Neurospora crassa OR74A: one gene and its partner. The protein of the gene in region 1 purifies or fractionates together with the protein of each later gene. This does not show direct contact. Links are inferred from orthologs where the notes say so. Each region holds a gene or a part of one and is shown in the gene's direction. Other genes may lie near its edges. The genes, in order: stk-52 and crp-10.

Region 1 (4,353 bases):
GTTTCGGGAGTATATCTGCGTGAAGGGAAGGACACCGATGAATGGAACAAGGTGGGAAATTTTGAGGGGCAGGAAGGGGGGATATTTGAGAGTTGAGGCTCGGAGGGAATAAAGAAGCGAATGTTCGACATGAAATGGGGCAGAGCATCAAAGCAATCTATGGAAACTCCGAGCATAAAACAAAGTTTCCGAATAGATCTCTAAGGCCCCGGGTGACCTTGACCCAAATGACTAAATATCCCCCTAGCAACCTCATCGCCATTACTGTTCCCATACCAATCATGCTGCGGCCGAGCAAAGGGGACACAGCTCATCAATCCGTCTTGAAACGAATAAGTCAGTCATCAACACCCGCTTGCGGGTTGGGCAGTCGCTGCTACTGGCATAGCAGTAAACCCGTCTTCTAGTGCGCTCGAACCATCGTCGGTACAGCTGCCCTTGCTCGTTGACCCAGCCATAGCCGGCTGGACAATCGGCGCCATTACGGCAAAAGTGATGTTCCATGTAGGAGTGGCACATGGTGAGTGAAGTTGTGAGCCCGTTTAGGCAAGGCTGGAATCCCGATGGGGGTTGCCGGAATAAAATAAAAAGGGAATTGGGAGACGCGCCTACCTATTGGATGTTGGAAACTGTGGCCCTGTGCTATTATATGCTCCGTGTTGACATCAAGTTGCGGCTCACACATGATGTAAATATGTTCATTCCTGAACTCGGGTGGTCGATGACCCATTATCCGTTTGTTGACGTGGGAGTCATCAACGACCATGAATCGAATCATCTAAACGCGTCATGTCAATGTATGCCTGCAGGATGAGGTGGAAGCAGGCCAGAAGGTCGTGATGGGTTTACTTTGATTGCAAGTCTCCATCGTTTCCATTGATGAGACGCAAATATCCAGAGGTCATATACCAGATTTGACCGTGAGTAAAATGGAATGTAAGAAGGATGATGTTAGGTTTCCCTGTAATTACCCGGGACCATGGTGTCCATTGCTAGCTTGATGACTTTGGGGATCGGCCTATGCCCCATGGGTGGAGAATTGGCTTTTGGGTGGTCGCCCCTTTTGAGCACTAACAGCTGGGTTCTGTCCAACAGGGAAGCGTACACTGGGTGCTGTTAGTGCTGTTGGCGTTGATTGAGTCACCGGCAGAAGTAGGTGTGTTCCGCACCGTGTTGAGATGTCGAAGATGCAAACCAAAGCTCAAGGAATGAATGTGGAAGTGGAATGAATCAGAATGATAGCGTCAGCATCATCGCCTAGCGTACTAACTATTAGGCGACAAGCTCACTCCAGTGGCAAACTGGTCGCCATCGGTGCAGGGGTGCAATGTCTGTACTCGGAGAGGCAAGAAAAGATGTTATGAATGCTGAAGCCTAAAGTGAGCCGAAGACTACTTAACAAGCAGCCATATCATGTGGAACGGAAACATCCAAGAACATCTTCAGTTCCATTCCAATCCGTCTTCGAGTCGAGTCGTCGTCAAGAACTCGATACTCACGGATTACCCTAACCCTGAATCTCGAAAACAGCCCTACCACTGGAAGACACCCCGCATTACGATAAGATAAGGTAAGCTCGCCCCACCAAGAAAATTGCCAGTGGACGGGAAGTGGAAGTTCGCAAGTTCCATGACGATTTCCATTTCGTCTGCCATCCTGTCTCATCACCACCTGCTGATATCGGCGGAACTGACGAAAGCAGACTCGGCAGCAAGATGGCGTCCCAACCAGAACTCACGTCGACCACAGCGGCGACCGACAACCAGAATGTCGACCTCAGCAACACCACCGCCCAGCTCAACAACCTTGCGATCGAAGAGGAAGACGACGACGACGACCTCCAAGATGTCTTTGAATCCGACGATGACCTCGACTACGAAGATGGCGGCACCGACCTGACCAAGTCGTACAACCGCCAACAACATGGCGCCGGTGCTACCAACTCTCAGCAGTCCCAAGCTCAGGCCCAGCAACAAAAACCCACAGCCAACACGTCGGCCCGCGTCGACGACCAGATCGCCGCCCTCTCCAAGTTCGCCGGAAAGATCCGCATCGACGCCTTCGACAATGCCTCCGGTCCCGCCGAGCGCAGCAAAGACAAGTCCGATCGCGCCACCTCCGAACTCGTCCTCGACCAGCGCACGCGCATGATCCTGCTGCAGATGATCAACCAGGGCTTTGTCTCCGAGATTCACGGCGCCATCAGCACGGGCAAGGAAGCCAACGTCTACGGTGCCATACTCCACCCCGAGGATGGCTCGGCCCCCATACACAAGGCCATCAAGATCTACAAGACGGCCATTCTGGTGTTCAAGGATCGCGAGAAGTACATTACTGGTGAACACCGCTTCAAGAGCGGCAGTGAAAAGGGAAACAACAGGAAGATGGTCAAGCTCTGGGCCGAAAAGGAATTCAGAAACCTGCGCCGTTTGTACACAGCCGGCATCCCCTGCCCGGAGCCCATCAAGCTCAAGCTGCACGTGCTCGTCATGAGCTTCTTGGGAGATCGCAAGGGCTGGGCCTACCCCCGTTTGCGCGACGCTCCCATCTCGGGCGACGACGCCGATGAACAATGGCGCGACCTCTACATCCAACTCCTCGGCCTCATGCGCAAGCTGTACCAAGTCTGCCGCCTCGTCCACGCCGATCTGTCGGAATACAACATCCTCTACAACAACAAGAAGCTCTACATCATTGATGTTTCCCAATCCGTCGAGCACGACCATCCCCACTCGCTCGAGTTCCTGCGTATGGATATCAAGAACGTCGGCGATTTCTTCAGGAGGAAGGGTGTCGACACGCTCTCAGACCGCACGATTTTCGATTTCATCGTCAACCCCAAGGGACCGGCCGAGGAACCCGGTATGAAGGAGACGGTCGAACAGCTGTACCAGACGAGGGTGGAGGTGGAGGATACCGCGGAGGCCAGGGCCGAGCAGGAGGTCGACAATGAGGTTTTCAGAAACCAGTACATCCCCAAGACGCTGAACGAGGTTTACGATATCGAGAAGGATGTCGCCAAGGTAAACGAGGGTCAAGGAGAGGATTTGGTATACAAGAACCTGTTGGCGGATCAAGTGGTGCACAAGACGGCGGAGGATCAGGAAGAGGAGGAGTCTGATGAGGAGGAGGAGGGCAGTGGTGACGAAGAGGAGGGTAGTGATGACGAGGATGACGAGAGCCGATTCGAAAAGGGAACACCAAGAGGCAAGAGGTTCATCGACAAGGACGAAAAGAAGCAGCACAAGGCGGCGGTTAAGGAGGCCAAGAGGGAGAAGAGGAAAGAGAAGATACCCAAGGCGATGAAGAAGAAGTTGGTGAACAGCACGTCGAGGAGGAAGCACTAAGCTGTGGTCGTCTACAAGTATCAGCTTTTCTTGGTTTCTTTCTCTTGTCTTGTTTGCTAATGGGCTCGGGTATGGCTTCTATGGCGCTAAAAGAATAATGGATCATGTCATCTTCCAGCCTGCGTATCCTGCTTTGATGCGTTTGGCGTTTCTCTCTCATACCTCACCCCATCCCGTTTGATCTGGCTACACTTTTGGCCATCATCCCTTGCGACACAGACGCAGCAAGTAAAGCAACCGGATGATGAAAGCAGTAAAGCCTGCCTGAGATTGTCGTCTCCTCAAACGAGCTTGTAATGGTTTTGCCTGTTTTCAGGGCGAAGCCTCCTGCTTTCGAGTAGAGACACTTTCTCAGAAGGCAGGTCTGAGTCGCTGGCGAGCCACCTAAAGAGTGGTCAAGCCGGGCTATGACGACCAAAGAGAGCACTGACGGTCTGCTCCCATACTGGGCGCCTATTAATCCCATGGAGATTCCAGTAGTCTCCTGTTGCCTTTAATATGTACTTATAAAGAGGAAGATGCCTCTACTATACGCTCCCCATTCCCCTTTCTTTATTTCTCCTTTTTTTTATCCCCTCAGTAGATGTTTCCAGTGGTGATATATTTTGAGAGGGCCGGAGTTGCGCTGTGGCGGGAGGGACCTTTCAGGAACGTCGGAGCTTCTTACTTTCAGTGGATGAAAGTAAAAGGCTTCTTTACATATCTTTCGAGATTGACGGCCAACCTCATAGCCAACTTCAGTTTTTGCGTCAACCTGGTAAGCGTTTCTGGAAGGGGTGCGTTTACTCGTGGATGTGATCTGAGCCTTAAAAGAAGAAAAAGATCAGCTCGCCCATGCTCGGAATCGAACTCGGGATGAGTCAACTCTGGACGGGCACGGGTTAAACCTACGAAAATACCGCGCATTTTCTGGACCCAGTGCACTACCACGTAGACTATTGGGCCGTGTTTGAAGGTCCGATTCTTCGGGCTAATATGGTCTCGGACGGTAGACGGAAGGAGGGTC
Region 2 (4,359 bases), about 1.2 Mb from region 1:
TCCTCCATCCCAGTTCGCGTGACTTTTCGCTTATCCCTTGCCGGCGGAACTCGGCTCTGACATCGTATAGGTCCCAACCGTTGATTTTACTTTCGGGTGAGTTTGGTGGAGGTCGGTAGCTGAAGGCCAGCAGCTTATCGACGCTTCCTAGCTTGCATGTTCTGGACTTGATGAACTCGAATGCCTCCCGGGCTTCCTTGTCGCCTGCGAAGTTGAAGCTAACATATGTAAAATCTCTGAACCGAATACGTATCGAGGAAGGAACGCCACTAGAAGGGGGCGTGGGCCGTAGGGTGCACTGTGAAATAATGTGGAAGGCAAACCACACTTGCTTCACACTCTTTTTCAGACTCGGATCTGCGGCAGTCAAAGACTCGGGGGGAAAGCGGAAGACGAGATGGTAGTCACTGAGCGCAAGGTCGCCGAGCTCCGGCTTTCCGCCTCGCAAGGCATGGATGTTTGCGAAAGTCTGGCATTCGGTTCAGTAAAGAAAACGAGACGTAGTTGGAAAGGTAGATGATGGAGAGCATACGTGCTTGAGGTGAGGCGCCGCCATCGTGATGTTGGGAGGTAATACTAACTACCCCGGCACTATGAGGCGCTGTGCAGCCGAGGTAGGAGACCGGACGTCCGAGACCCAATGTGTCCGGACAGGAGCGCAAGACGTGTTGACAGATGCGGTTGCGGCGAGAGGAACGGGGAGAATAGAATCTGCTTCGCTTAAGATGTATCGTAGTTGTACAATAGTGCCAGACTGCAGGACTGGGAAACAGAAAAATGTACCAATTAGGAACATGTGTCCTGATATAAACGAAAAGGAGGAACTTCGCCGCGCAGTCACTGGTGCCGGTCAACGATAAGTGATTCACGCGGAACTTGTTGGGATTTCAAGAGATTGTCCCCGAGGTCCACGTGGAATCGATTTGGAGGACAGGTATTTAAAGGCGACAGGGACTGGTAACTTTGTAAGCTACAGAACCTCTGCTGCTAATCCTCCTGCCGTCCGAATCCAAGGGTATGCGAATAGTGACTGCGATTTGCGAACAAGCAGAAAGTCAGCATCTGGAGTGCAACGCGCTCTGGAACCGGGGAAGCGACGATTGACGTCGATGGACACCCCACTATCAGCGCCACCCCGAACCCGACTGAGGACGGAACGTTCATGGTGCCTGCCGGTGTCAGAAATTGCCCGAGCCAGCAACGACTGACAATCAAAGGAAGTGAAGTGCACGAGGTGGTCTGGGCGCAAGGCTGGGCCTGGACGGGGACGGGAAGCGCAAGGAAGCACCTCAACCCCACATGTGAGATCTGTACGTATCTCCTTTTTTGGGTTGCGCTTGGCGGCTCCTACCTAGCGTTGGGCGCGCAGACTGGGTGCGGATTGCCAGCCGCTTGCCAGCCGGGATGAGCCGTGGCGGCTGTTAACCCTACTCAGCCAGCCACTCAGAAGCGGCAGAGGGCAGCCCACCAAGGAATTCGCAAAAAAAGTAGCTGTGCCGGTCGAATTTCCCCCCATCTTTTTGAAAAGTCCGGTGAACACCGCGAGAAGGTATCCCACTCCATCCTCCTCAGCAGCACAATTGAAGCCCTCAGGACCTTCATAGCCAAATCGCAAAAATGGCTGTTCCCGGCACCCAGATGTAAGCAACCAGAGCAAACCAAGAGCATGGAAGCCTCCTACATGTCTACTACACGTCTTCACGACTGTCTACACGTCGGTGCGATCTGCTGCTGCTGTGGGGGTGCAAATGCAAAACGAAGGCGTTCAGTCACGAAGCCGGGAGATATGCTGCCCGCTGGTTGCAGCAGATTCAGCCGACGGGGTGGGATTTAGAAAGTGGTGGCTTGGAAAACAACAAAAGCGGCGTTGATGCTGACTGCTTCTCTTTCTGTCTACAGTTCCAAGCGCAGAAAGTTCGTCGCTGATGGCGTTTTCTACGCCGAGCTGAACGAGTTCTTCCAGCGCGAGCTCGCTGAGGAGGGCTACTCCGGTGTCGAGGTCCGCGTTACCCCGACCGTCACCGACATCATCATCCGCGCCACCCACACCCAGGAGGTTCTCGGCGAGCAGGGCCGCCGCATCCGTGAGCTCACCTCGCTCATCCAGAAGCGCTTCAAGTTCCCCGAGAACTCTGTCTCCCTCTACGCCGCCAAGGTCCAGAACCGCGGTCTCTCCGCCGTCGCTCAGTGCGAGTCCCTCCGCTACAAGCTTCTCAACGGTCTTGCCGTCCGTCGTGCCTGCTATGGTGTCCTCCGCTTCATCATGGAGTCCGGTGCCAAGGGTTGCGAGGTCGTCGTTTCCGGCAAGCTCCGCGCTGCTCGCGCCAAGTCCATGAAGTTCACCGATGGCTTCATGATCCACTCCGGTCAGCCCGCTAAGGACTTCATCGACTCTGCCACTCGCCACGTTCTCCTTCGCCAGGGTGTCCTCGGTATCAAGGTCAAGATCATGCGCGGCTCTGACCCCGAGGGCAAGTCCGGCCCCCAGAAGTCTCTCCCTGACGCCGTCACCATCATCGAGCCCAAGGAGGAGCAGCCCGTTACCCAGCCCATCAGCCAGGACTACGGCGCTAAGGCCGCTCAGGTCCAGGCTGCCGCTGAGGCTGCCCGCCAGGAGGAGCAGGCCGGTGAGGAGGAGGCCGCTGCCCCCGCCGCTGAGGAGTAGGATAACCTCAAGGTCGGGTCAAATGAGGTTTTGCCTTCGATCGAGGTGCCTGTGTCTTTCGACGAGCCTGAGGTCGCTCCTGTGGCGGAGTTCAATTTCGGCGCGGACGATACTTCCATTGTCTGGTAAAGGCCGCTGGGTTTGGGCGGGGTCTTTTTTCAATGTGCTTGCAAGTCCAAACAAACACTGGGTTGCGGAAATGGATGGGTTCAATTTGGCGTCAACTATGGTCATAGCACATTTGCATTAAGACTTGCGAAAAGGGGAAATGGCGGACGGATTGTTGCTTGGGATTATAATTGTTTTTTGTAACCCCACGATCAATGCAGCAACGTCGGGAAATTCCTGACTTTCGCCAGGGAAATAAGATACCTGAACAAGCCCTCCTTCCTTGCCTTGTTTTGCGATTGCCAATTGTGCCATATCCTTTTGTGTGATGAAGGAGACTATTAATGGAATATAGGCACCAATCTAAGTGAGGCATGTGAAGAAATTCGTCCGTAGGTTTGTTGATATGATATCATGGCCTAAATCGGGACATGGAATGTAAGCAGGTAAACATCAGCCACTCTCAGCTCAAGTGTCCCGCAAATATCCAACCGTTCAAGATTTCCCGTCTTTGCATAGTAGCTTCACACCGAACATTTGACGAACACTGGAGGACTGATGAATGTTAACATACACTAAATGAGCTCTGTCTTCACTTGCTCCGACGTTGTTTTGAAATACACGGTTACACCGACTTTGGATATTCAAGCTGACAGACTCCTGCTCAATCGTTCAAGACTTAACAAATAGATACTTCGAGACAAGTAATCTGGATCTTGTTCTGGCACCAGTCCCTTGTTTAAAAAGGGAGGAAAAGGATATGGACGTTTGAGGGGAATAATACACAACTTGGAGGTATAACAGTAATGGAATATAGTGTCTAGGGGCAGTTAGGACTCGGAAAAGTTGGGAATATGGGATCCTATGAAGGGGTAACACATCATTAAGGCACCCGCTCGTACTTGGAACCAATAAGAAACAAGGTAGAGATACTTCACACGTTGTACCTAACTCACGGAGAAGAAGAAGAGAGTCAGGACACGCATAACACTTTTCTTGTTGTATTGGTTTCAATCATCCATCTGTCTTGGTCCCCATATATAAATGAATCCCTTGTGAATTCCCTCCCTCCTTCTCCTCCTCCTCACTTCGATCTGTTGTCTATATCTCCGGTCTTTGCTCTGCTTGGTCTGAAAGGTGCTGTGTTGTGTGTATAGATCGACAATCAATTCGCTCCATTCGTTACAGATTTTGGGGGTGCCTCGGGTTCTTCTTCACTTATACGCCCCTCTTTATACATCTTCGTTTACCCTGAAGACTTTCATGGTATACACTCAGATAAATCCTCAACTATCCCTTCAGAAGAGGGAACTCTCCTTGATGCAGACCTCGAGACTGCGGTCTCGGATTAGGCAAGTTCGGTCAAACTTGGTGGTGGGGCCCATACACCGATTCCCACCGTTATTTTTCTGTTTCTCGCGCTCGACATCGTGGTAGAGTGGAACGTGAACTTCCCGTCCGTTGCACTAAAGGCTAGGCGTGCATCTGGGAAAGTAGATAGCGTAGGTAGAATGGTTTGGTACATAACGATCTGGACTGCGCCTTGAGCCCATGCCTTGCTTGCCCGCCTCTCCCTTTGTAGACCG

Evidence for each region.
Region 2: the proteins of stk-52 (region 1) and crp-10 purify together in Saccharomyces cerevisiae (affinity purification with mass spectrometry; 3 studies listed by BioGRID). This does not show direct contact. The link is inferred for Neurospora crassa OR74A from reciprocal best matches to the Saccharomyces cerevisiae genes RIO1 and RPS3.

What each region holds. Positions count from the first base shown.
Region 1 is NC_026503.1:5,215,243-5,219,595, reverse strand, and holds stk-52 (serine/threonine-protein kinase RIO1), read left to right. Parts: upstream 1-1,324; 5' UTR 1,325-1,570; intron 1,571-1,702; 5' UTR 1,703-1,715; coding exon 1,716-3,347; 3' UTR 3,348-3,834; downstream 3,835-4,353. UniProt on the Saccharomyces cerevisiae protein: Required for the final endonucleolytic cleavage at site D converting 20S pre-rRNA into the mature 18S rRNA. Required for the final steps of cytoplasmic maturation of the 40S ribosomal subunit.
Region 2 is NC_026503.1:4,035,027-4,039,385, forward strand, and holds crp-10 (40S ribosomal protein S3), read left to right. Parts: upstream 1-1,457; 5' UTR 1,458-1,617; coding exon 1,618-1,640; intron 1,641-1,899; coding exon 1,900-2,665; 3' UTR 2,666-3,660; downstream 3,661-4,359. Other genes in the region: NCU11185 (protein phosphatase), read right to left, coding at 1-469, 533-556. UniProt on the Saccharomyces cerevisiae protein: Component of the ribosome, a large ribonucleoprotein complex responsible for the synthesis of proteins in the cell.